Macaca fascicularis: one gene and its partners. Each later gene encodes a partner of the first gene's protein in a complex. Links are inferred from orthologs where the notes say so. Each region holds a gene or a part of one and is shown on either strand. Other genes may lie near its edges. The genes, in order: POLR2L, GTF2A1, TAF1C, UBTF, POLR1H, TAF1A and GTF2F2.

Region 1 (4,220 bases):
CCACTGGGGAAGCTGCCCAGGGCCCTGGCCAGGTTGGGAGCAGAAATCCCAAGTGTGCAGTGGATCTGGCCAGCACCACTCTGGATCCAGAAAACCCTTCATCCTCCTCCCCTGCAACTAAGGCAGACCCAGCATTGCCCTGAGAAAGCGGCAGCTGATGCCTGGAACCCAGCACAGGTCCCACCCCAGCTGGAAGCCCCAGCCCAGAGCCCCCCCATGGGTGCCACTTTGCAGCCCACCCACCCCCCCACAGCCTACCTGGCACCTCCAAGGAGTCTTCTTTGCCTCCTACTGCACACCGACCCCCCATTTCCTCACCCCCACCCTAGGGGCACAGCAAGGAGGGTGCTGGTGCCAGCCCCCCCGCACTCCATCCGAGAGACACGGGCTCCCCCTCCCTCGTCCTCCGTAGGCCCTGAGCTCCAGGGCAAGGCAGAGCTGCGGCCTTCAGCGGGTCCTGCCAGTGCAGCCTCCGGGAGTCTGCCCAGGGGTCCCCTGTGCCGCGGTCTTCAAGGTTCAATTCAAAGAGCACCTCTTCCACGACGCCCTCCCCGACCTCCCTCCCGGGCCCCCTCTCCCCGTGCTCAGAGGCGCGTCTCAGCGTCGGGACGGCCAGCAGCCCAGCAGAGCCGGGACCGGGGAGGGCGCACCCCGACCCCCTTCCTGGGAAGGAGCGGAAAGAACGCGGACAGGAGGCCGGGGCGGGGAGCAGCCGGCGGGGGCCGTAACTGCGCGGCCGAGGCCAGGACGGCGCTCCTAGGGGCTGGGCCGCGTCCAGAATGGGACCCCCGAACTCGGCGCCGAGAGCCCCGGACACCCCGCGAGTAGAGGCGGAGGCGGAGGGACCCACTACCCGGCGGGGCCAAGAGGGGCAGCAGGAAGACCCGCCCCGGTCCGCGCCCGCCCTCTCCCCAAGCCCCCGCGCCGGACCCCACTTGTTGCTGCGTGTCGGCTCTAGGCTCGAACTCGCGCGCCCCGCTCGCGTCCGGCTCCAGCCGCTCCCGGTCGGACACCTCGGGCCGCGAGACCCTGGCCGCACGCCCCCACGACCCCCCGGGCGCTCTACCTGCGCCGCCGCCTCCCGCTCGCTTCGTCCGCTCCCTCCGCGCAGCTGTCAGTCAAGCGGACACGAGAAACGCGAACCGCCACCGCGGCTTTCGGCCCTGCTCAGACGCCGTAGCTCCGGGACGCACCAAGATGGTGGGCGGGGGTGTGTCGTCTGTTGCTGCCGCGGCCGTGCAGGCCCAGGAGCCCCGGGCCGCATGGGGAATCCCCATGGCGGCGGAAATTGCGGCCAGCTGCGCCGGGGCCAGTGTATGAACGGCTGGGGCAGCGGAGAACGAGCGGAGCCGGTCCCCCCGCGATAGTGGACGCGCCCGGGGCGGGGCCTGGGGGGAGTGCTTCCCGTGCGGCCGGACCGGGCCGGGCAGTCTGGGACGCGCCGCCGCCATGATCATTCCTGTACGGTGTTTCACTTGCGGCAAGATCGTCGGCAACAAGTGGGAGGCCTACCTGGGGCTGCTGCAGGCCGAGTACACTGAGGGGTGAGGCGCGGGCTGGGGCCGGGGCTGGGGGCTGAGTCCGCCCTGGGGTGCGGGCCGGGGCGGGAGGCGCAGCGCTGCCTGGGGCCGGCGCTCCATGAGCAGCTTCATACCCGGCCACTCCGGCCCAGCTCTGTGATCTGCTTTCGGGAGAACATTGTCCCCTGAAGTCTGGGGAGAGAGCGGAGTTGGGCTTCAAACCAGTGGTGTCCTGGGGATTCTAGGTGGCCTGGCGGGTGGCAGGCGTCTTGTCACCCGCAGTAAAGCCCTTGGTCTCCGTCCTAATCTCTCGTCTCTGCTCCCAGACCCACCCCATGTCCTGCAAACCTCGCTGCAGGACAGGCGGGCGCGGCGGCTCACGCCTGTAATCCCAGAAGTTTGGGAGGCCGAGGCGAGAGGCTTGCTTGAGCCCAGGAGGTCGAGACCAGCCTGGACAACCTGGGGAGACCCTGATCTCCAGAAATTTTTTCTTTTTTTTTTTTGGGGGGGACGGAGTCTCGCTCTGTCGCCCAGGCTGGAGTGCAGCGGCGCGATCTCGGCTCAGTGCAACCTCTGCTTCCTGGGCTCCAGGAATTCTCCCCAGTCGCCGGGACTACAGGCGTGTCCACGCCCGGCTAATTTTTGTATTTTTAGTAGAGATAGGAGTTCGCCATGTTGGCCAGGCTGGTCTCGAACTCCTGACCTCAGGTGATCCACCTGCCTCGGCCTCCTGGAGTGCTGAGATGACAGGTGTGAGCCACCGCCCCTGGCCCTCTTATCTTTTTAATTCCCCGGACTTGGTGGTGCACACCTGTGGTCCCAGCTACTTGGAAGGCTGAGGCGAGAGAATCGCTTGAGGCTGGGAGGCAGGTGAAGATTTCAGTGAGCCGAGATCACGCCACTGCACTCCAGCCTGGATGAGAGAGTGAAACTCCGTGTCACGCACACACACACACACACACAGAAAAAGAAATGCAGGGCAGACTTGCTGACCACCCTCATCATCGGGCTTTGTGGGGGAGGCATCCTTCTCCTGTGCTTGTCCCTCAGTGCTGCTGTCACCACCGTGCCTGAGTCTTGGTGCCCCTGCTGGAGTCTGACCCTTGCCTGCTGAGTCCTGGTCACATGTGAAACCCCAGGCTCGTGTGTGCCAGCCTGCCATAGGCTCTCAGTGCAGCTTGCTGGACGAATGAGTAAAGCGAGTGGGCTGCCAGAGTGAGTGGCTGGTGGCCTGTCCAGACCCTTTCCCAGGGATATGAACTGCAGGGGCCTCCCATGTGGCCTCCCCTTTCCCAAGCTTCTCTCTCTGCACATTGGAGCCATCAGTGTGGGAGTTTTCTGGAAGTATTGATGGTGACTGGACCTTGGTCCCAGGGAAATTAAAGCTTCTAATTGGCTTGGGAAATGGGAGAGGTGGCTCCCTGGAGAAGCAGTCTCTCCCTGATTGAAGGAAGCAGAGGTGAGAAAAGACGCCACAGTGGCAGAGTAGGGCTTGCTCTGGGGTGGGGGATGAACCAGCTAAGGGCAGGCCCCTGGAGAGCTACCCTGCTGTGGCTGGTGCGGGATGAGGGGAGCTGCGCATCAGGACCTCGGTGGCCTTGGTTTTCTATGCTCCCCCAATTACCTCTAGTTTTCGTTTCATTTATATTTCTTACATATGTTAGACACACATATGTACAGCCAGAGTAGGTGGGAGAGAAGGCTCCTCACGCTCCACCCAGGGATCTGGGCATTGCCAGGTTACTCCAGCCAGGATCATACCGCTAGGTCTCTACTTCTCATCCAGGTGAATGTGTTCGCCTTGCCGGTAGCAGGGGAGTGAGGCCAGCAGGCAGTGAGAGGCGGCCTGGATGTGGGCTCCAGGCCTGTGCAGACCGTGGAGAACTCAGCTGGCCTCTCTGTTCCTCCCCTCGCTTGACACAGGGATGCGCTGGACGCCCTGGGCCTGAAGCGCTACTGCTGCCGCCGGATGCTGCTGGCCCACGTGGACCTGATCGAGAAGCTGCTCAATTATGCACCCCTGGAGAAGTGACCAGGCTGGAATCCGCCTACCTGCCATGCTGACCATGGGCCATGAGCATCCTGCCCCAAGTTCACAAGGCTGAGGCATCCAGGAGCTGGCGCAATGCCTCGCCACAGCGTGTGTGTGTCCCATCCCCCACTCTGGAAGGAACAATCCAGTAAAGGTCTTTCAGAACTACCAAGGTCCCAGCCCTCACTAGGATGTCAGGGGCCAGGACTAGGCCCAGCTTTCACCGCGGCAGCCCAGGGAAGCCGACTGGGCCATGAATTCTCCTAGCCCTGGGGCCAGCCTGTTCCACAGGTACCCCTGCAGGAGGTGCTGCCAGGAGAGCCTTCCATCTCAGGGCTGAGGTTCCCTCCTTCTGGGTGCTCTTCAGACTGAGCAGAGGCTCCTGTACTCTCTCTCTTGGAATCTGAAGAGCCAGATTTAGGCCAGGCACGGTGGCTCACCCCTATAATCCCAGCACTTTGGGAGGCCAAGGCGGGTGGATCACGAGGTCAGGAGATTGAGGCCATGCTGGCTAACACGGTGAAACCCCGTCTCTACTAAACATACAAAACAAAAAAAACAGCCAGGCGAGGTGCCGGGCGCCTGTAGTCCCAGCTACTCGGGAGGCTGAGGCAGGAGAACTGCTTGAACCCGGGAGGGGGAGCTTGCAGTGAGCCGAGATTGCGCCA
Region 2 (3,500 bases), on another chromosome or scaffold:
AGATGAACAAACTTCAAGAGGAGGATTTGGCAAAATAAAGCAGGTTAGTGAGTGAAACAGTAAAGCAAGAACCCGGATATTTGAATTGGTTTTCTTGTAATGAGAAGGACTAAATAGTTTTTAATGGTTGAGGTAAATTGTACTGACAAACTCATTTGTATTTTGTTTGTTTTCTGAGACAGGGTCTGGGCCTGTCACCCAGGCTGGAGGGCAGTGCTACAATCTTGGCTCACTGCATCCTTTCCCTTCTGGGCTCAAGCCATCCTCCCACCTCAGCCTCCCAAGTAGCGGGGACTACGGGCACGTGCCACTATTCCTGGCTAATTTTTTGTATAGCCTGAATTTCACTATGTAACCCAGACTGGTCTTGAACTCCTGAGCTCAAGCGATCCTCCCAAAATGCTGGGATTACAGGTCATTGCATCTGGCCTCATTATTTGTAGTTTTCACAAGACAAGGACACATTTTCTTAGCAGTTCCCCTGTGTCACAGTGTTGCTGATAAGAGATGGTAGTGAAACACATATTTCTGTTTGAAGTTTGCTCATGAGAACAAACACTTAGTTTTTTTTGATAGCCATTTAACTTTAAGCAAGGTGTGAAACACAAGTAATGAGAAGACATCTAAAAAGCTTGTTAACCATAACTCTCTGATAATGGGTAGGATTTATAACCTGGCAACTCTAGTTTTGTCAAGGCAGCTCTAGTTTTGTCATCTGACATGACTTCCTTTTGTCTTACAGGTTAAAAATAGGATATGGATTGAGCTAATTGTTCTATCTCCCACCTTGTAGTTTTTAAATAATTTTTATTTTTTGAAAGTTCTTTCACATCTATTCTCATTTTGCCCATTTTACCATTCAACCTTCTAGAAGCCAGCTCCTTTACTTCCCGCTCCTCCTCCAAGTAATACCAACAGTGCTAATTATAATAATAATAATAAACGTTTAGAGGGTTTATGTTCATTATAATGTTTCATAGCATTATCTGGGCAGTAGTAGAGGAGAAATTCTGGGAAGGAAATCAGTGTACCTTGTTTCTTTGGGACCTTGAGACCTGTCATTGTGGGTGTGTGAGTAGTTTAATGGTGTAGCTTGAAAGTACAGACTGGGTCACACAACAGAAGTTAGGTGATTTTTAAACCTGAATGTTCATTAGATTGTAGATTATTACCAGGCAGATGACTCCCGGACGTAAGATTCTCCAAAGTCTTAAGATTTAGTGGTGAGGTAGTAAAACATACAACAGAGTTCAAACCAAGCATGGAATAGTAGAAGCCAGACGTAAGCAACCCCTGAAGCTGTTATTGAACATTACATTAGGTATTTTGACTATAACATAGGAAATTATAATTGAAAATTGTATGGACCTTGTAGGCATAGGGACCTTCTGTTTATGAATTGCATTAATCTTAAAATTTTTATTAAAGTATGCAGTCATCAAATCCAGTTTATGGCAAATGATGGTGGTCGTATCTTTAAATTCATATGTAGTTAGTTGGCAAAATGACTATTATATTGGTTTTGAATTATACATTGTAACCTGTGAAAAACTGTCTTTATCAAGTCTGTTATTTTTCCTTTAAAGCCTAAATTATACCGATCTGTGATTGAAGATGTCATTAATGACGTGAGAGACATCTTTCTGGACGATGGCGTGGATGAACAAGTACTGATGGAACTGAAAACCGTACGTTTGTCTTCTTAAAAATATTCCTACCTTTTCACCCCAAATCATTTTCTTTAGTCAGAGATGAATCTGTAATTTTTCTGTAGGGTGAACGTATAGTTTAGTGAAGTGTGCTGGTTTTAAATCCCAACTGTACCATGCATTCTTCCTCTGACCTTAGGCAGGCTACATTTATATTTCAGTTTCTTTACATGTAAGATGGAAATTGGTAGTATTTACCTTATAGGTTTGTTTTGAGGATTAAATGGGATAACCATATAAAATCTTAGCACAATGCCTGATAGTAGCATTAGCAGTTATTATTGGATAGTTAACATTCTACATTTTAGGGTCTAATTACTTGACATGCCTGGAAGAGTTTTCTTTCTTTTTTCTTTTTTTTTTTTTTTTTTTTTGAGACAGGGTTGGGCTCTGTCGCCCAGCTGGAGTGCAGTGGCACAATCTGGACTTACTGCAACCTCCGCCTCCCAGGCTCAAACCATCCTCCCACCTCTGGGACTACAGGCACATGCCAGCATGCCTGGCTAATTTTTGTATTTTTGGTAGGGATGGTTTTCACCATGTTGTCAAGGCTGCTTTCGAACTCCTGGCTGCAAGTGATCCTCCCGCCTCGGCCTCCCAAAGTGCTAGGATTATGGACGTGAGACACAGTGCCCAGCTTTAATCTTGCCTTTTTTTAATGGTCTTAATGTGCCTGTATTCTAAGTGTGTTTTAAGTTGTAGGGAGTAAGTGCTTGATAAAAGAATTTTAGGTTCTTGAAGTAGACCCTTTATGTAGGCCAAATGTTTTAAATATATTTTACATTAAGAGCTGGTTTTCTGTATCTTGGATTTAAGCAGAAATATTTAGTTTTTTTATTGGCAGTTGTGTTTTCCTTGCAGTGTAATGACTCATGAAATTGTGGACTATTTTTGCCCTGTTGGTTAGAATAGTGGTTCTCAAGGTATATAGTTCATGGAGTCCTGGGTTCTCCCCAAGGGTTCTTTCCAGGGGTCCACAAGGTTGACTAAATGCTCAAGTCTGGAAAATCATAGTTTGCCTTCATTCTTTCAAGTAAAAGTTGTATTCTGTGAGAAAAGTGGCCAGTTAAATTCATAACTCAAGCGCACAGATGCTTTTCCTTGAGATAACTGTAAATAAGCAGCAGAAATGCTGTATGCATACTTCTCATTTCTGAATATTAAAAAGATGTGGACTCAGTGTTGATACTAAGAAATTTGATTGTTTGATATTCTGTAATGAAGTGTGTTTACATTCGAAAGATCCATATAATTCATTGAACTTGTATTTTCTGAATGTCCAATGCATAATGTTGGAAAATTCATTCAAAATGCAAGATAAATTAATGAACTTTAACAGTATGAAAAGTTCATAGTTATATGGTTTCATATTCTGCATTGTAACTAACTTGTAAGAAACTATCACTTAAAAGTACCTTTTCTTTTCCTAACTACTTAACTGTAGGAAGGCAGATTTTCTTTGTATACCTCAACCAAAACAAAGCGAAAACACAGGCAGATATGAAAATCTAGCTATTTTCCTTTAAGTCATTTGTCATTCTCACTCAATTTTATTTACTAAAATATGACTATTTTCAGAAAACTGTTATTTATGTTAACATATAATGGATCCATTATTTCTAAACAAATTAGTAAGCATTAAACATTTGTTACAATTTCTGTTACTATAAATATAGGGGGGTGTAATTCACATACAGAGAAGCTCTTTGAGGGTCTCAGTAATTTTTTAAAGTGATAAAGCATCCTGAGGTGAAAGAGTTTTAGAACTGCTGGTTTAGAAGTTGAGTATTA
Region 3 (3,230 bases), on another chromosome or scaffold:
CCCCGAGGCTGCTCCTCCCCCACCGCTCCACCCCTGGCTGTACCTTGAAGCCCTTACCAAGGGGAGGCCCTGGGAGAGCTTCCCCACCTGCCTGTTAGCACCGGCTGTGGGATCCACTGCGTGCCGGGGCCACAGATTCATCCAGGGTTGAGTCTGGTTTGCTGGGTGGTTATCTGGGCCCAGCAGAGCCACTGGTAAGCAGCAGCCTCTAGTGCCCATCTGAGACAGAGCAGAGGTGGGGCGGGGCGGTGGTGTGTACCACTCACCTGGGTACAGACGAGATGGAGAGTAGGGGGCAGGCATTCAGAGCTGGAGTGCCCCAGGTACTGGGTGAGCAGGACACGCTCCCCTTTCTGGCACGAAGCCTCTGCGCCCACACGAAAAAGCAACAGACCACAGCCCGGCGGGCCCTGGAAGAGAAACACAGGGTCAGCCCTCCCCACAGTCCCAGGCCCATGACGCCATCCTCGCCCAGGCCGCAGCCAGCCTGGGACTCACTGCTCTGCGGCTGCTCCCGCAGTCAGGGCAGATCTCCTGCCGCCACCCCATACCTGAGTGTCAACCATCTTCACTCCAGTGCGGTCACCCACAGTCAGCACCCGAGGGTGGGCGGTGAAGTCTGCCCAACGCCAGGAAGAGGAGTCCCGGAACACAAGGGTCTCGGGGTCCTTGTAGACTTGTTGCAGCCTTGGGGAGATGGGCAAGCCATGGGTAGGGGGGACAGGCTGATGTGGAAGGGAATCAAGGGTCGCGACATGCTGAACAGGGAGTGACGGGCCAGAGTTCAGTGTGTTAGGGTGGGGGGTTTCATGGGAAGTGGCAATACCCATCCTCAGGGCTCCACAGGCAGACGGCTCCTGAGCGGCTGCAGATGGCCAGCTCCCCGGGCAGGTGAGGGCTACAGGGCAGGAACGCATTCACATCAGGCTGCTCGCCCCTGCCCCCAGCCCCTCCTCACTGACCAGACTGACTCCCCCTCACCTGAGGCTGATCCCTGTGGCCCCCTTCTCCACCTGCATTGCCTGCAGAAGGGTTGGCTGCCACTGTTTACCGAACTTCCACACGGCACAATGGTAGTCAGAGCGGACGGCCAGCAGAGCTGAGGAGGGATGGAAAGGGTCAGGGGTCAGGGGTCAGGCAGCAGGTCAGCCAGTGAGGGAGGAACATGTGTAAGGGCCTTACTTTCTCCCTGGACAGTGCATGTCACCACCTGCCGGACAGGTCCCTGGAGCTGGATGCGTCCAGGGTTCCCAAGGAATTGGGGACTGTCACCTGGGCTCAGAACAACCTCTTGAAAATCTGGGCCTCTCACTAAGGATCAGTGCACGAGCTGTGGCCACTGCAAGCCCCACATTCCTGCCCTTCCCTGGACCATGCCAAGAGCACCTCCTCCACCAGACGGGAGCCCGCTGGGATCGCCTGTCTCACAAGAAAGGATACGCAGCCTGTCCAGGGCGCCTCCAGCAGGGTAGACCAGCTGCCCGAACTGGGGTGTCCTTCCAGGCACCCAGGCCAGCGCACCCCCAGTGCAGGCCTCATCCAGAAGCAGCTGCTCCCACCGCAGCACCAGCTCCTCGTGCAGCAGCTCTGCCAAGTGGCTCGCCACCGATGTGCCCAGGATGGGGCCCCCAAGGATAGAGAAGCGGCGCTGTCGGTTGCTGAGGTAAGCCCAGGGACACCTGGGGACCAGAGAACAGCAGGAGGATCACTCAGTGGCACTCAGGGGAGGACAGGTCCCATCCCAAGGAGGCCAAGTGCAGTGGACACATTTCTTATTTACCTAGAATTTCTTCCTTTGGGAAACCACCCCATCCTGTTCCCATGCCCTGGAAGCAATCATGGGACCCAGACCTGGCCATCAACAATATTCCATTGCCCTTGCCACAGCGACTGGTTCACAGACGGGTGTGAGACCCAAGCCAAGCCAACCAAACTCCTTTCTGGGACTTCTGGTGCCTCAGGAAGGACACTGGCTCTTTCCTTAGATCATAAGCCATCTTGCTGCTACCTACAGACAGCCTGTCTAGGAACTGTGCAGGAAGAGGCAAGTGGACGACAGAGTAAAGAGAGACACAGCTCTACGAATATTATTTGAACACCTGGATGCAGCCATGCCTGAAGCCCACAAATTTAAATCTGCTTTCCCCTGAGATGATTTGGAGTTGGAAGTCTGGTATAAGAAAGTACAGCTCAGACTGCATGGAGCAGGTGGGAAGTGGGTATGACAGAAACCTGGATGTGCGTCCTAGCACCTCCTATATCCCCACCACCAGCTACGTCTATCCATCTCCTCCTTTCTCATTAGCCACTTGCCCCCAGGGCTGGTGTCCACCGAGGTCCTGGAGCAGTTTCTTCACACTGACCACTGTCGTCTTCTTAGTGCGGCTCTGCATGGAAAGGCCTCGTCAAGCTCACACACCCTCAAGTTCACCCCTGAAGGACAGCAGGGAGTCCCTACCCCTGGTGTCATGGGCCACTCACCCCTGCTCCCTCCAGCTTGAAATTCTCCAGCATCAGCTTCCCCAGGGGTGCAAAGGCTACGTCTCCATGATCCCAGAGGAACCGGCTGATCTGGGGAGAGGAGGAGGCCAGGTCACTAAGCATAGTCTCCAGGCTACGCAGCACTGTCCCCCGTGGGCCCACTCACCTGCTCAGTAACATCCAGCACGACTCGGGGTCGCCTCCGATACCGGTACCCTCCGCGGAAAAGCAGGTCCCGGGCAGTCAGGCCAGGGTCCCAGGGATCTGAGGAGGAGGTTACGGAAAGGGCTGGGGAGGGCACAGGAGTGCAGCCAGATGCCTTGGGCGGCTGGAGGCATCCAAGGGCTCTGAGCGAGCACAGGCTTAGCAGGGAGAGGAAGGTCTCAGGAGTGGGAGCTGCGGGAAGAATAGGTGGAGCAGTGTGGAATGAGCCCGGAGGAATGAGACTCTCACCGATGAGGGAAGGCAGCATGGGGAGAGGCCCAGGGGTCGCCGGCTCCCACAGCAGGTCCTTGGTCACATGCAGTGCCCCGTTCTGAAGGGAAGTCAATCACAACGACAGTATCATGATGAGTGCCTTCCCCGGGCCAGGCTCTGCGCAGGCATTCATCTTTTATCAACTCATCCAATCCTCACAACAATCCTGCGAAGTTGGGATGACTGGCATTGTCACACTACCACCTGCCCCAGATGACAGAGCTGGTAAAGAGAATAGCTGGGATGTAAACCAGGCAGCCTGACCCCAGAGT
Region 4 (4,102 bases), on another chromosome or scaffold:
CCGGGGACCGGATCCGGATTCCCGCCGCTCCCCCCTCCCGGGCTCCCTTCGCCGTCCCCGCCCGCACAGGCGGGCGAGCAGCCGGAGAGAAGCGGCCTAGCCTGCCCCCCGCCCCCGAGCCACCCACCCCGGCCAGAGGCGCCGCCACCACCCAGCCACCCCGACGCGCACGGAGGAGCCCGGCACAGAGGCGCGACCGCGGCGGGAACCGCCGCCTCCTCCCCCGAGCCTGCGGCCCAGCCCCGCCGGCGCCCCCGCCCCGGCCTCCGGGGAGCCGAGCCAAGGAGAGGGCGGGAGGACGGCGGCCGGGAGGCGGGGGCGCAGCGCTCACCGGCCCCGCCGCCCCCTCCGGCGGCCGGGGAGAACTGCGCCTGCCGGATCCGAGAAGCGCGGGCTCCTCCGCCAGCGGCCGTGGCTCGGCTCAGGCCTCGCTTCCTGCCTTCCCCTCCCCCGGCTCTCGGCGTCCTCCCAAGTGCCCTGGTCTGCTCGCGCCCGGTCCCCTGCTCGGTGGTCGCTCCGGGTCCCTGCTGGGCGCCCACCGCAACCCGCGGTTCGCTCCCTGCTGTCCGGCCCCGAACCCAGCGCGCGTCCTCAGCCGCCTCGGTTACCCGGCGCAGCGCGGCCTCCGGGCTTCCCGCTCCGGCGGCTCCCTCCCCGGCTCTGAGTGGCGGCGCCCTCCCCCGCTCGGCCGGGCACAGCCGCAGCTCCCTCCCGCGGCGGCAGCGGCTCCTCCTCCGGGCGAGGCGGCGGCGCTGGGGCGGCGGCTGCTGCTGCTGTGGCGGCGGCGGCGGCGGCTGTGGCTGCTGCCTGCTGCTCCTCGCGGCGAAAAGCACAAAGCACAGCGCCCTCCGCCTGCAGGCAGCCCGCCCGCCGCCGGCCCCGGCCTCAGCTCGCACACCCCCCGCCGCCGCCGCAGCCTCAGCCGCCGGAGCGGGGAGGAGGAGGGAGAAGGGAGGAGGAGGAGCGGGAGGGGGGGCGGGAGAAGCGGGGCAGCGAGCGCGTCCTTCCCCGTAGAGCGCACACCGACCCCCGGGGAGCGAGCGCCAGCCCGCCCGCCTCGCCGGCTCCGCTCCCTCCCACAGCCTGCCCGGGCGGGCTCCGCGGGGGGCAGCTGGGAGGAGGGGCGGGAGCTGGGGGGACCCGGGCGGCCGAGGCGGAGGGAAGGAAGGAGGGGAGGGGGGTGGTGGTGGTGCTGGTGGCGGCGGCGGCTGCTGCTGCTGCTGCTGCCGCCGCCGCCGCCGCCGCCGGGGAAGGGGGGGGCCGGGGCAGGGAGACACGCAGCCGCCCGGATGGCGGCGGGGCTCGGAGCCGGGGCGGGCGGGCGGGCGGGCGCCGAGAGCGACCTCGCCAGACCCGCGGGGGAACTAGCAGGCTTTGCCGGCGCGGGAGGGAGGGCCGAGGCGCGGCCGCGGAGAGGGTGCCCGGAGGGGCCCCCGGCGGCCAGGAAGGCTTGGGGGGCGCCCACAGCCCTGCTCCGGAGCTCTCCCCCAAGTCCTCCCAGCTCAGACTGGGGCTTCCAGGCCAGCTCTCTCCCGCCTCCCGGAGCGAGCGGTCCGCGCCCACCCTCATCCCCCGGAGCGTGGCCACTGGTTTGGGGCGCACGCACGCCGATCGCGGCGTCCAGCTTCGGCGCCTACCTCGCGATCCTCTCATTGCCGAACGGTACATAGGAAACTTTAAAAAAACCCAAAACCGAAAATCTCTGCATTAAAAAAAAATCCCCGTTGCTCTTTACACCCCGGAAACGGCGAGGGAACGACGGGCTCCGGCGGAGGGGCCGCTGTGGGAGCCGGTTCAATCCAGCCCGGCATGGCTCCCAGGCCTGCCCGGGCGCATGGAGATCGGTGCCGCCGCCACTCGTAGCAACCCCTCTCCCCCGAAATCCGCGGCGCCCGGGCTCACTTACCGAGCGTGTGGATGGGAGCGCAGGCCGGGGGCACCTGGGAGCACGGCGGGCGGAACAGCCGAGCCGCAGCTCCGCTGCAGCCGACGCCGGGGCAGCGAGTCGCCAGACAAAGCCCGAGATGGCGAAGCGGAGCGACGGCTAATGGCGAGCCCCACGCGCCGCGCTCCGCCCGCCCCGCTCCGCCCGCCCGCCCGCCCGCCTCGGCGCAGCGCAGCGCCGCTCCGAGCGCTTGCCCGTCAGAGCCGCCTCGGCGCCGCCGCCTCCCGGGCCACCCCGGCCTCGCCTGGCCCCTCCGCCTCCTCCGGGCGGCTCAGCCTCACCCCTTCCCTCCCACTGCTTTAGGGGTTGCACAAAAAAAAAATTTTTTTTTAAGTAAAATGGTTTTCTTCCTTTTTTTTCTTTTTTCCTTTTTTGCAGGGCGGGCGTGTTGAGACTTTTGGATCTTTCTGCCCGCAGCTCGCACTCACCTGCGGAGCCGCCGGGAGGGCTAGGGGTGGGGGCGCGCGGGGCTGGAGCCGGCGAGCGCGGGTTGAAAGCCAGCCAAGCTCTGCAGCGCCCGACCCGGGCGTGTACGCCGCCGCCAGTCCCCGCAGAGAAATCGTCCTCCTACCCCCGCCTCCATCGCTCTGCGTTTCTCTTCCAATCAGCCGGTCGCTTGGTGGCTCCTCCATTCTCCGGCCAAGCCCAGCTGCCTAGAGCGAGCTCCACTCCTCCATCTGTTCGCCGGGGTCCTCGCTCCCCTGCCGGGGCTGGCGAGGCGGCGTGAGGCCGGAGGGGGATTTGCAAGGAAACCTGCCTGCTTCCCGCTCCCATTGCTCCATCCCCGCTGCCTCCTGCCTCCTGCTTCTCTCCTGCGTCTTTCCAACTCTCCCCTGTCGCCACTGGTGTGTGTCTGAGTGTGTGCGCGGTTTTTTTTTTTTTTATTGCTCTTTGCTTTTGCAACCCTGAAGCAAAAGGGAGGGGGGGTAGTTACAGGGGAAAAAAAAAAAAAGCGAGAAAGAAGCTCTTAGATTTGCAACACATCGGAAAACCGAGGGAGCACCCCGCCTTATCCGATCTCCATGCTCCGCGAGGGCCTTCCGGGTTTTAAAAGGACGAGCTTATCAATGTCCCCCTCTTCGCTGGGTTTAGGATCCGAGGAGTCCGAGCAAAAAGTTCTCCCCCTGGGTCGTAGTGAGGGGTGTCAGGGTGGGAGTTGCGGGGATTTTTCAAGAAGAAGCGGCTATCCTTCCTACCCCGGCGTCGGTCACTGGGCGGGGGTAGGGGAAAGAGCAAAATCCCAGTGGGTTTGCGCGAGGGATCTTCTGGGGTCGAGGCGGCGGGGGGAGTCGGAACCGGGAGACACCACTTGGCGCATCTCCCCCTCGGTCTATACCTCCTGTCTTTTGCCAGCTCCCCCTTTAATTTTTTTTCTCTCCTTTAATCTAATTTCTTCCAACTCCACCTTTGTTGTTACCGGCGTCACGCCCGGACCAGCCAATCCCCGCCACGCAATCAGCTTGTCAAAAAGCCTCGGCCGGCCCTGGGAAAGCAGGCCGCAGGCGCTGCCCCCCGGCGGCGGCGGGCAGCCGCGAGGGGAGCCCAGCACCCGGTTCTCGCTGCTCCGGGCGGCAGCGGAGCAGCCTCCGACGAGACGTCTCCCGGTTCACTAAACTGCAGGCCGGGGATGAAAGGCCTGGACGGGGTCCACCACCCACCCTCCCACTACCATGGCTGTGGTTGTCTGTCTTTGCCTCCCCTTTTCAGAGGAAAGGTTATCAGGACAGGACGCAGGGAGCCAGAAGACCATCTGAAGGAAGCCTGCTTCCAGCAGGCCCAGCCTCCAGCCACCGCTTCTGGGGCAGCGCCATTGCTCCTGGCTCTCAGGCTGCCAGTCTCCCACACCGAGGCTCTACTTCCCGCATCTCGGCCAGCTGGATCACCCAGCCCCTTTCGACTCTCCCCTGGCATGCAGCCTTCTCCTCCACTCGGCCTGCCTCTTTGCTGCTGTAATTCCTCTTGTCTCCTGGGAGAAATGAGATTGTTTTCCCAGGACTTCCAGATCCCACTTCTGTCACGTTTCACAAACAGGGAGGAAGCCCTGTCAAGATCTGGTGTGTCCTGTTTTTGTTTGTTTGTTTGTTTGTTTTTGGGGGCACTGGCATATAGGAGAGGCGGATTTACCACTCGTAGATTAATTTCAGCTTCTAGGCCCCT
Region 5 (4,139 bases), on another chromosome or scaffold:
GATTTGCAGCTCAAATTCATACTATCTGTGTGCTCCAAAAAACATGAAGCCAAGAATTTATTTAAAGTAATTCCAGCTTGATAGTGCTTCAAGGCACCTAGAAAAGAAACACAAATGCTGAGAATACAGCACTTACCCAAGGCCTCAAAGAATTCCTACAGTTCAAGTTCTAAAAAACTCAAATTTATTGTCAAAAATTACAAAACAAAGAAAAAAGCACTATGAGAGAGACAGCAGAAACAGACAGCAGCATCAGACACACAAAATCCATGGATATCAGAATTATGAGACATAGAATATAATAACTATATTTAATATTTTATATATTTAAAGACTAGTAAAAGGAACAATTTAAAATATGATTAAGGAACTGAGAATTATTTAAAAATTGAGATTTGAAAAGTAATTAAATAGAACTCAAAATAATAACAATAGTAAAAAATAATAATATTTGAAATAAACTGAAGACAGAACTAGTGACATGGAAGAGGAACCTGAAGAAATTACTCAGAAGGTGGCATAAAGAGAAAAGCGATTGAAAATATGAAAAGAGGGCGAGAGAAATGGAGGACAGAAGAGAGAAATCTCATTCTAGTAACTAATTAGAGGTCCAGAATGTGAGGACTGAGAACATGGGGGAAAGAGAATATTAAAAGAGATGATGGCTGATAATTTTCCAAGGTTGATGAAAAAAAAATCCACTCTAGGCTGGGCGTAGTGGCTCACGCCTGTAATCCCAGCACTTGGGGAGGCCGAGGCGGGTGGATCACGAGGTCAGGAGATCGAGATCATCCTGGCTAACACAGTGAAATCTCGTCTCTACTAAAAAACACAAAAAATTAGCCGGGCGTGGTGGGGGGCACCTGTAGTCCCAGCTATTCAGGAGGCTGAGGCAGGAGAATGGCGTGAACCCGGGAGGCGGAGCTTGCAGTGAGCCGAGAACACACCACTGGACTCCAGCCTGGGAGACAGAGCGAGACTCCGTCTCAAAAAAACAAAACAAAACAAAAAACAACAATGCACTCTCAGTTTCAGAAAGTCCAACAAATCCCAAACAGAATAAAAGAAAATCACATTTTGATATACTATAGTGACTGCAGAACACCAAAGACAAAGATGAGGTCTTAAAAGCATTCAGAAAGCCCATGTTCTCTAAATCATGTGTGACTAATTCTCTCCAAAGTAAAGCTACCTTGACTGCGGTTGAAGACTGCAGTATAAGACGCTGACCACTAAACAATACTTGCTTCTTATGGTTTTTTTTCTTCATTTCCTTTTAAATATCCTAAAAGAAGGTCAGGCAGGGTGGCTCATGCCTGTAATCCCCAGCACTTTGGGATGCTGAGGTGGGTTGATTGAGCTCAGGAGTTCAAGACCAGCCTGGGAAACAGAGAGAAACCCTATCTCTACTAAAAATACAAAAAACAAAACAAAACAAAAAGCCAGGTGTGGTGGCACGTGCCTGTGGTCCCAAAGCTATTTTGGAGGCTGAGGTGGGAGGATTACCTGAGCCCAGGAGGCGGAGGTTGCAGTGAGCCAAGATTGCCTCACTGCACTCCAGGCTAGGTGACAGAGCAACACCCTGTCCATTTAAAAAAAAAAAAAAAAAACAAAACAAAAACCTAAAAGGTTTATTTCACTGGTTACAAAAAGGGTTAAAAAAGTGTAATTTAAAAAAATAAAAACTACAAATCTCCCTCTTACCAGAACTGCACAGAAATAAGGGATGGGACGAAAGGACACAGCCGTTTAGTACAAAAAAATAAATCACTGGATTTGTTTATTAGTTAGCAAACAGACTGAGCAAAGGGAGGGGAAAGGATACCCACTTGCAGTTGGTACAGGTGTAGAAGACAGTTTGCCCTTCATCGGCTGAACGCATCTGTCTGGTGTGGTATGCCATTCCTTCATGACCACATCGAGGGCAGCGCCTGTCAACCTGGGAAGAAACTGGTGGGTTATGGAGGCCTGGTCATATCATACCCTTACTTCCCACAGGAACCAGGCGATCACGCCTCTCAAACATCGATGCTTTACATCTTTTCCCACTTGGAATTGGGCACAAAACTCTCCAGATCTCTGCAATCACTCCTCCATTTCTTTCCTACCCACCTTATGGAGCCAGTTCTTGATCTCATTAACTTACCACAGGTCCCTGGCACTCAGGCCCTTCCTCCACCGACATAGGCATGGCTGTCCCCAGTTGGTGGAACACAACTGAAGTCTTCACAACCTTCCCCTCAAAGTCTGCACAGGCAAGTAAGACTGGTTATGGAGACAACCTGAGGGAGCTGACACCGGAAACTTCCCCTCTCCCCTGGCTGGTTAGGCCAGGAGGCCCTATATCCTTTCCCTCAGTTTTCATCGCTGGACCAAATGTACAACTGCCTGATGTCCTGCTCTAGGATCCCCTTCTGAACCCAACCTATCTTGAGTTCCCCAAGCTTCCGATCCTGGGCCCTCCGCCAGGACCCCTGTGTACAAGCCTCTCACCCCGAACGTTGATGTTGAAGCCACAGCGAGTACAGGTGACCGTATCCTGAGCCCCGGGCAGAGGCAGGACCGAGCCGCAATCTGAACAGAAATCCAAGTCCGACTGAAAGCTGGAGCAAGTACCGGCGAGGTCCATGACAGACATGCAGTCGGGTCTGAGGAGGGAGTTAGAAGTTTATTAACAAAAGAGAGAAGAGTTCCTGCCCCAGAGTTGGTAACTATTCCGTCCCAGGACGTAGGAGTATATAACCCGAGTCCTCCTCCCACGCACGCCTCCTGCCTCTGCGACCAAGGAGCCGAAACGCCCGGAACTCCCAGACAGCGTCGGGTACTAAAAGGACTTGGAACCCTTTCCTGGGGCCGGCGAGAGGAGCTGGCCAACTCCGTGGGCTAGAGCGCCAGCTCTGCGCCCGCGGCGGGGCAGCGAGCTAGAGCCGGCTAGAGCGTCACGCTTTCACGCTGACGATTGGCTGTGACGTCATAATTAATTGCGAACCGTGTCTCGGAAGCCTTAGAGATGGAGAGTCACCTCTTCTAAGGGAGGTTGGGGCTCAACTTTCAGGCTGGTACTGAGACGTTGAGCACAAAATTGGTAACCAATGCTGCGCTTCCAGCAAATTTTCCCACCAGCACCGAATCCTGGGATATTTATTCTCTGTTTCACATCCTACGGGAACCCAATCGCGGGGGAATATCCTCCTGAAAACCGTACTTTGCTGAATAATGACTTCTTTGGATTAGAGAACTACAACTCCCCTGGGTCCTGAGCTGGTATTTCCCTTTTGCGGCTGCACAGTAGTTAAAAACAAAGCTAAGTGTTCTGGCATGTATAGTTCTAGCGTTCCTTGGGTCCCGCTGGCGAGCGTGGGCTTTCTGCAGAGCGCAGCCGGCCTGTGCTTTGCGGACGGTTCACCGCGCTTGGAAAGGGGTGAGTCGGCTTCTTGAGGGACAGCAAGTGGTGAGGGTGAAGGCCAGAGGAATCCTTAGTCCCACGGGACGAAAGGAAGCAGGGATGAAGTGGGACACTTGAGAAGGGGCTCAGGACTTTGGAGGTGGTAGAACAGAAGAGCTTGGGGCTTCCCCTCCTTCGACTCCTGCCAGATAAGTGAGGCTAGCAGTAGTCAAGAAGCTCATTAAGTAGGATTTCATAAGACTTAGGTCGAGTTTGGCTTTTAGTTGTGCCTGCCGCTTATCGAACTCTTAATTCATTATTCGTCATCCATTAAGTGGACAGCTGACATTTCCCTGATCTTTTATAAAACATGGGAATAAGTTTCTTTCGGAAATCTTGCTATTTTCGTTACTCTGTAACTTATATTCGAAGTAGAAACTTTCCCTGAAGGGGCAGCTTGTCGTTGTTTACTAGTTTCATGCTAGTCCTCCCACCACCACCCACTCTGATAGCTGTGCTAAGTTCCTTCATATGAAAGTTCTGGAGCCATCACTATTTTGTCCTGTGAAGGACACAAGCTGTAGTCTTTTCGCTGGGAGAGGCTCCCATCTGCCTTTCTCTGTGATAATGGAGAGAACACCATAGTTAAAGGGTTAAAACTCAGCAAACTGCTGAAGAGTGACAAGCCCTATCACTTAACTGTGAAATTGCTTGTTATTCTGTCTGACAAAGGGAGATGTGTTGTTGAGCTGAT
Region 6 (3,500 bases), on another chromosome or scaffold:
GGCCTTTGATTTATTTTGAGTTAATTTTTATGAAGTGGGTAGGGGCCCAACTTCATTATTTTGTATGTGGATATCCAGTTGTTGTAGCATTTATTGAAAAGTCTATTATTTTCCCACTGAATTGTCTTGGCACCCTTATTGAAAATTAGTTAGCAGCTGGGAGTAGTGGCCATGCCTGTAATCCTAGCACTTTGGGAGGCCAAGACAGGTAGATTGCATGAGCCCTCAGGAGTTTGAAACCAGCCTGGGCAACATGGTGAAACTGCATTTCTACAAAAAATACAAAAATAGCTGAGTGTGGTGGCATGTGCCTGTAGTCCTGGCTACTTGGGTGACTGAGGTGAGAGGTTTACTTGAGCCCAGGAGGTAGCGTGAGACTGCAGTGAGCTGAAATCATGCCACTGCAGTCCAGCCTGGGAGACAGTGAGGCCCTGTCTTAAACATACACAAAAGAAAATTAGTTACCTATAAATGTGGAGGTTTATTTCTGGACTCTGAATCTTCCATTCATCTACATATGTCTCTCCTTGTACCCATATCATACAGTCGTGATTACTACAGCTTCTTAGTAAATTTTTTTTTTTTTTTCTGAGACCAAGTCTTATTATGTCGCCCACGCTGGAGTGCAGTGGCATGATCTCAGCTCACTGCAATCTGTGTCTTCCAGGTTCAAGCGATTCTTGTGCCTCAGCCTCCCAAGTAGATGGGACTACAGGCGTGCGCCACCATGCCCAGCTAATTTTTTTGTATTTTTAGTAGAGACAGGGTTTCACCATGTTGGTCAGGCTGGTCTCGAACTCCTGACCTCAGGTGATCCACCCACATCGGCCTCCCAAAGTGCTGGGATTATAGCCATGAGCCACCATGTCTGGCCGTAATCATAGAGTACATTCCCCAACTCTGTCTTTTTTGTTCTTCTTTGGTTCCTTGCATTTTCATATGAATTATAGAATCAGCCTCTCAACTTATGCAAAAAGGCCAACTGAGTTTTTGGTAAGAATTACATGTATCTGTAGATCAATTTGACAATAGTAAGTCTTTCAACTGAACATAGAGTGTCGTTTCATTCATTTAGGTCTTTAAAAATTTTTTTCAACAGTATCACTTTTCAGAGTAAAATTTTGCATCTCTTTTGTAAAATTTATACCCATTTTGTTACTTTTGATGCTTTTGCAAATGGCATTGTTTTCCTAATTTTATCTTCTGATTGTTCATTGGAAGTGTATAGACACAGTTGATTATTGTGTATCGATCTTGTACTCTGCAACCTTTGTGAACTCATTTATTAGTTCAGTAAATTTTTAGTGGATTCTTAGGATTTTTCTATGTACAAGATCATGTCATCTACAAATAGAGATAGTTTTACTTCTTCCTTTCCAATCTTGGATATCTTTTTGTTATGTTCTTACTTAATTGTCCTGGCTAGAACCACCAATATAATGAACAAAAGTAGTGAGAAAAGACTTATTGTCTTATTCCTGATTTTAGGGGGAAAGCATGCAATCTTTTATCATTCAGTTCAGTGTTAGCTATGAGTTTTTCATAGATGCCCTTTATCAGATTGAGGAAGTTCCTTCTATTCCTACATTGTTGAGTGTTTTTGTCATGAAGGGTTATTGTGTTTTTTCAGATGCTTTGTCTGCATCTATTGTGATTATCTTGTGGTTTTGGTCCTGTATTCTTTTGATTTGGTTTAGATCAATAGATCTCTATTTTATTATTTGCATTAATTGATTTTCAGATGTTAAGCCAACCTTGCATTCCTAGTATAGATCCCACTTGGACATGATGTATAATGCTTTTTATATGTTGCTGGACTCAGTTTGCTAATATTTTGTTAAATATTTTTGCAGCTATATTCATAAGAGACACTGATCTGTAGTTTTATTGTGTTGTCTTTGTTTGGTTTTGGTATCATGGTAATACTGGCTTAGAATAAGTTAGGAAGTATTCTCTTCTGTCCTTTTTTGGGAGAATTTGTGAAGAATTAGTATTTTCCTTTAAATATTTGTTGAAATTTACCGTTGTAGCTATCAGGAGCTGAGTTTTTCTCGCGGGTAGCTTTTTAAATTACTACTTTAATAGAAGTCCTCAATATTTAATGAATGTTAAAAAACCTTTTATCTTTGGGCAGATAAGGATGATTATGCTTACAACGCAGTAGCCCAGGATGTGTTCAACCACAGCTGGAAGACATCTGCAAATATTTCTGCATTGATTAAAATTCCTGGAGTTTGGGACCCTTTTGTGAAGAGTTATGTAGAAGTAAGTAGAATTTTCATAAAATGTATTGGTTTTATTTTGTCAAAAGCCTTTACAAAGACTCCATGCCTAATCTTTATTGATCAGAAAGAAACTAATGGAAAAAATTATTTAAAAGGAAACAAAAATATTATGTCTCGTTTTTGGTCTGAATTTGTTTATTTTCACCACTGTATAACCCATCATGGCCAAGTATCTATAAAATAAATAGCAGTATAGTTGTAAATGTTAATTCAATCTTATTCTTGTTGAGTTTAAAAGAAACACAGTAAGATATTTTATGATTTGGTGGGATATAGAAGGAAACAGGACAAAAATCTGAAAAAGTGGGTCATAATATATGAGATAAAGAATGATGACTTTTTGGAAGTTCGTAAGAATGTCCTGTCATCCCAGAGTCGTCGTAAAAGGACTGAGGGCCTTGGTGCTAGGCACTAGGAATAATAAATAATTTGCTTTGTGAAAGTTATTGAGTGGCGAATTGATAATTGTGTTGTCAGAAGATAATCTCCAAAATCATAACCTGGAAATTCCTGTGTAAGGATGGGAACAGAATGAAAGCAACTACAATTCTTGTGCACTCCTTTTGTGGCTGCAGTGATGTAGGGCACTGAGGTTAGTTGCATCACATTTTCAAGCATTAGTGTTCCCTGCTTTGAGGACTCTTATTTTTTATAGGAAGAGAATTTATGTTGAGGTGGCTGCATTTTTTATTAGTGGTAACAAAATATAGGGAAAAAATGGGAACCCTGTCAGTTTTGTGATTTTTAAAAAATACCCATCAGTAAACTTATGCTGTGTATTATCTTTCGTACAGCTGTCTTACAGAATTCAGCTAAGGTATTATGATTTATTTTATATAGATGCTGGAATTCTATGGGGATCGAGATGGAGCCCAAGAGGTACTCACTAATTATGCATATGATGAAAAGTTTCCATCAAATCCAAATGCCCATATCTACTTATACAACTTTCTAAAGAGACAGAAGGCACCAAGATCAAAAATGATAAGTGTGCTTAAGGTATAGAATTTTTATCTCAATGTTTGAACAGGGTTGGGAATCTACATTAAAACATTCTTAGGCCATTGCTTTCTAACTTTTATAGCATCCACAGAAAATGACAATAATGTACAGTACACTGAGATAAACAGAAAGTTCGCTCCAGCTGCCATCTCCATGTATGTATCATTCACACTATCCCCTGCTGCCTGGGTGAGACTGAGGAGAGAGGATCAG
Region 7 (3,500 bases), on another chromosome or scaffold:
GCAGCTAATATTTGAGCATCCATTATATACTGAGCATTGTTCTAAGTGTTTAAATGTATTCATATTTTTATATGTCAACAAATTATCCTCATTTCATAAATGAGAAAATTAAGGCACAGAAAGGTGCAAAGAGAATCAAGGAACAATGACTTGAAACAGAAATAATGAGGTTAAGAAGTAAAATATTGTTACAGTGTATTATAACTAATAGCAACTTAGAACTGCATTTGTATTATCACAGTTGTGCAAAGCAAGAACATACCGTCCAAGCCCCAGAATAAGGATGACAATCTTAATTCTTTTCCATATCCCTGCCAAGATAATCCTCATAAAACCACGTTCCCTTCAGAGTACACTGTAGCCAGAAATGTGAACATGAAATGTTCAAAAAGAGCACAACACTAAAGTATTTTTAAAATGTAAAATGGAAGACTAATTTTGAGGCTAACAAATGTTAGCTTTCTAAATCACTGTCTTTGTAGAAGCACCAGAAATAAATCATGTTTTCAAAAAATTAGTCACTTAATAAGATGTAAAAAATCTGTAATAGGGTACTTTTTTCTACAAAAAAAAGTTCAAGTTTCCCTACCTCAAACTTTTATCAAGGCGATGTCTCCTTTTTACTATCTTGGTGCCATGCCTCTTCCACTCTAGGACAATCACAAAAGTAGAGAAAACCTCACAGGTTCAATGGATCTTATTAAATCTCATCAATCAAAAGGAATAGAGTTGTTGAAACTAAAACTCCTTAACTCTTTTTTTTTTTTTTTGAGATTGAGTCTCCCTCCATCACCCAGGTTGGAGTACGGTGGTGCAATCTCGGCTCACTTCTACTTCCACCTCCTGGGTTCAAGCGATTCTCCTGCCTCAGCTTCCTGAGTAGCTGGGATTACAGGCACCCGCCACCACGCCTGGCCAATTTTTTATTTAATAGAGACAGGGTTTCACCATGTTGGCCCAGCTGGTCTCGGACTCCCGGCCTTAGGTGATCTGCCCACTTCGGCCTCCTGAAGTGCTGGGATTACAGGCACGAGCCACCGCGCCCCGCCAAAACTAAAACTCTTTAACATACTGAATTCAAATGCGCTTTTAATTTCAGACAAATTTCAGATTTTTTGATAGGTCTATACTATGCCCTGAACTATGCAGCATGCAATAAATATTTGTTGAAAGGTTGAATCTTCTCCAGTATAAAATGGATGTATTGAAGAAACTGTTACTTTTCTGCCTCCCATACTACTAAACTATTAATTATTAGAGCATCAGAAAACTGCAGTGAAACCAATCTTCTACCTTCAACTACATAACTGAAGAATTATAATTTACCATTTTGTTATACTGTACATCCAAGAAAAAAAGAATAATTTTTAGATCATTTTATGTAGCTATTGGTAATCGAAGACACCACAAAAAAATTTATGAGGATGTACCTTTTTTTAACCAATGGTGTTCTTAACATACTATAATTTCTTACAGCTTCCTTTGAAATGTTTGATGAAATACAACAAAATCACAAATGTTTTCTTTTATCAATAAGCTTTTTGAACCAGATAGCAGAAAATTAGCTCCATTAAACTAAGGTGGCCTGTTGCTTTAATAGTATTCTAAACTCAGTGAAAGATAAAAATCCCAAAACATGGAAAATATACTCATGCTGAGTGTGTGCCACAAGAAAGTTCCTTCTGTATTTAATTCACAAATGGAAACATTTGCTTCTGATTTATTGAACTGTTAAAATATCTCATTGCAAACACATACAATCTTAAAACTCTACACAGAAACTTCTTAGAAGCCAATATCAATTAAAAGTTATCTCTGTGCAATAAAAAGGTCCCCTTGGTATACAAAGCATACAAGATGAAAAATTCAGACTAAAATATTCCCTAATATCGAGCTGTATTTTTAAAGTACAACTTATACTTGCTAAATATCAATTTACTAAAACAAGCAACGATGACCTTATCTTGGCAAAATTCAGAATACTGTTTCTTCAACATCTGAGAAGGCAGCTTGATGAACCACATTCTTCCATCTGCTTTGTTCTATATCTTCATATCCCAAATAGAAATTAAACCCTTCTCAAGTAATGGCCAAAATTTCATTAATCACAAGAAAGTACACAGAGCAGAGAAGTAGCATAGTATGAATAACAGAGGTACACAAAATGAGAGGTGGAACAGTCTTGGTAATGACCTTAAAAAAGCAAACAGGAGGCCGGGTGCGGTGGCCCACGCCTGTAATCCCAGCACTTTGGGAGGCAGAGGCAGGCGGATCACCTGAGGTCAGGAGTTTGAGACCAGCCTGACCAACATGGAGAAACCTCGTCTCTACCAAAAATACAAAATTAGTCGGGCATGGTGGTGCATGCCTGCAATCCCAGCTACTCGGGGGGCCGAGGCAGGAGAATCGCTTGAACCTGGGAGGTGGAGGTTGCAGTGAGCTGAGATTGTGCCACTGCACTCCAGCCTGGGCAACGAGAGCGAAACGCCATCGCAAAAAAAAAAAAAAAAAGCAAACAGGAGTGTATGTTGAGACAGAAAATCTATACAACAAGTACAGGAATCACATTAAATAATTCCATTCCCACTTACCTGATGAGCTCTCAGTAAACACTGTTAATGTCTGTCCTCCAACACTTTGCAAGACAAATGGGTGTTCTCTAGGAGCACTGACTGAAGCCGGTTTTCCACCAATATCATGAATATTTGCAAGGTCCTCATTCAAAGTAAATGACACCTAATAGACACATTAACCAGAGATTATAACAGACTTTTGTATTCAAACTACATATAAAAAAATTTTAGTTATAAATCAAATTGTTTTTAAATGTGTTTTCCAGTCATTTCATTAAACACTTTAACTTTATTAAAAACTCCTTAATACTTGCTCACAAAAAGAGAATGTAAACTGGACACACTGGTGCACACCTATAATCCCCGCTACTTGGGAGGCTGAGGTAAGAAGATTCCTTGGGCCAGGAGTTCCAGGCTGTAGTTCACTATGAAAAGCCATTGCACTCCAACCTTGGCAACACAGCAAAACCCTGTCTCTTAAAAAAATCAAAAGAGAGAAAGACAATCTATTCCCGTTTGTCAGAATAATGGGGCTAATAAAAAAATAACAAAATCACATCCTTTGCAGCAATGATGCAGCTGGAAGCCATTATCCTATGTGAATTAGTGCAGAAACAGAAAGCCAAATACCACATGTTCTCACTTACAAGTGGGAGCTAAACATTGGGTAGACATGGACCTAAAGATGGGAACAATAGACATTAGGGACTCCAAAAAGAGAGAAGAGACCAAGAGTTAAAAAACTACCTATTGGTTACCATGTTCACTATCTGGGTGACAGGATAAATATCAGCCCAAATCTCAGCATCATGCAATATACCTATGTAACAAACCTACACATGTACCCCCGAAATAAAATAAAAATTACTACAACTAGTAAGAAAATAAAAAACAAAAACAAAAAGAACAATGGGGCTAATCTACCAT

The links.
Region 2: POLR2L (region 1) and GTF2A1 share a complex: the UniProt entries of both Homo sapiens proteins name them as parts of the TBP-based Pol II pre-initiation complex. The link is inferred for Macaca fascicularis from reciprocal best matches to the Homo sapiens genes POLR2L and GTF2A1.
Region 3: POLR2L (region 1) and TAF1C share a complex: the UniProt entries of both Homo sapiens proteins name them as parts of the pol I pre-initiation complex. The link is inferred for Macaca fascicularis from reciprocal best matches to the Homo sapiens genes POLR2L and TAF1C.
Region 4: POLR2L (region 1) and UBTF share a complex: the UniProt entries of both Homo sapiens proteins name them as parts of the pol I pre-initiation complex. The link is inferred for Macaca fascicularis from reciprocal best matches to the Homo sapiens genes POLR2L and UBTF.
Region 5: POLR2L (region 1) and POLR1H share a complex: the UniProt entries of both Homo sapiens proteins name them as parts of the pol I pre-initiation complex. The link is inferred for Macaca fascicularis from reciprocal best matches to the Homo sapiens genes POLR2L and POLR1H.
Region 6: POLR2L (region 1) and TAF1A share a complex: the UniProt entries of both Homo sapiens proteins name them as parts of the pol I pre-initiation complex. The link is inferred for Macaca fascicularis from reciprocal best matches to the Homo sapiens genes POLR2L and TAF1A.
Region 7: POLR2L (region 1) and GTF2F2 share a complex: the UniProt entries of both Homo sapiens proteins name them as parts of the TBP-based Pol II pre-initiation complex. The link is inferred for Macaca fascicularis from reciprocal best matches to the Homo sapiens genes POLR2L and GTF2F2.

What each region holds. Positions count from the first base shown.
Region 1 is NC_088388.1:742,499-746,718, reverse strand, and holds POLR2L (DNA-directed RNA polymerases I, II, and III subunit RPABC5), read left to right. Parts: upstream 1-1,428; 5' UTR 1,429-1,449; coding exon 1,450-1,544; intron 1,545-3,443; coding exon 3,444-3,552; 3' UTR 3,553-3,720; downstream 3,721-4,220. UniProt on the Homo sapiens protein: DNA-dependent RNA polymerase catalyzes the transcription of DNA into RNA using the four ribonucleoside triphosphates as substrates.
Region 2 is NC_088381.1:149,184,862-149,188,361, reverse strand, and holds part of GTF2A1 (transcription initiation factor IIA subunit 1), read left to right. Parts: intron 1-1,586; coding exon 1,587-1,688; intron 1,689-3,500. UniProt on the Homo sapiens protein: TFIIA is a component of the transcription machinery of RNA polymerase II and plays an important role in transcriptional activation. TFIIA in a complex with TBP mediates transcriptional activity.
Region 3 is NC_088394.1:80,059,321-80,062,550, forward strand, and holds part of TAF1C (TATA box-binding protein-associated factor RNA polymerase I subunit C), read right to left. Parts: intron 3,017-3,230; coding exon 2,935-3,016; intron 2,746-2,934; coding exon 2,648-2,745; intron 2,572-2,647; coding exon 2,482-2,571; intron 2,388-2,481; coding exon 2,314-2,387; intron 1,680-2,313; coding exon 1,441-1,679; intron 1,300-1,440; coding exon 1,183-1,299; intron 1,100-1,182; coding exon 982-1,099; intron 899-981; coding exon 827-898; intron 688-826; coding exon 552-687; intron 411-551; coding exon 267-410; exon of another isoform or gene 174-266; coding exon of another isoform or gene 88-173; intron 1-87. UniProt on the Homo sapiens protein: Component of the transcription factor SL1/TIF-IB complex, which is involved in the assembly of the PIC (pre-initiation complex) during RNA polymerase I-dependent transcription.
Region 4 is NC_088390.1:65,276,762-65,280,863, forward strand, and holds the start of UBTF (nucleolar transcription factor 1), read right to left. Parts: upstream 2,801-4,102; 5' UTR 2,374-2,800; intron 2,022-2,373; exon of another isoform or gene 1,907-2,021; intron 1,086-1,906; exon of another isoform or gene 1,028-1,085; intron 663-1,027; exon of another isoform or gene 332-662; intron 269-331; exon of another isoform or gene 128-268; intron 1-127. UniProt on the Homo sapiens protein: Recognizes the ribosomal RNA gene promoter and activates transcription mediated by RNA polymerase I (Pol I) through cooperative interactions with the transcription factor SL1/TIF-IB complex.
Region 5 is NC_088378.1:142,602,755-142,606,893, forward strand, and holds the start of POLR1H (DNA-directed RNA polymerase I subunit RPA12), read right to left. Parts: upstream 2,801-4,139; 5' UTR 2,774-2,800; exon of another isoform or gene 2,765-2,773; intron 2,649-2,764; 5' UTR 2,639-2,648; coding exon 2,494-2,638; intron 2,248-2,493; coding exon 2,147-2,247; intron 1,940-2,146; coding exon 1,830-1,939; intron 1-1,829. UniProt on the Homo sapiens protein: Core component of RNA polymerase I (Pol I), a DNA-dependent RNA polymerase which synthesizes ribosomal RNA precursors using the four ribonucleoside triphosphates as substrates. Can mediate Pol I proofreading of the nascent RNA transcript.
Region 6 is NC_088375.1:80,560,663-80,564,162, reverse strand, and holds part of TAF1A (TATA box-binding protein-associated factor RNA polymerase I subunit A), read left to right. Parts: intron 1-2,134; coding exon 2,135-2,265; intron 2,266-3,125; coding exon 3,126-3,284; intron 3,285-3,500. UniProt on the Homo sapiens protein: Component of the transcription factor SL1/TIF-IB complex, which is involved in the assembly of the PIC (pre-initiation complex) during RNA polymerase I-dependent transcription.
Region 7 is NC_088391.1:24,397,115-24,400,614, reverse strand, and holds part of GTF2F2 (general transcription factor IIF subunit 2), read right to left. Parts: intron 2,737-3,500; coding exon 2,592-2,736; intron 1-2,591. UniProt on the Homo sapiens protein: TFIIF is a general transcription initiation factor that binds to RNA polymerase II and helps to recruit it to the initiation complex in collaboration with TFIIB.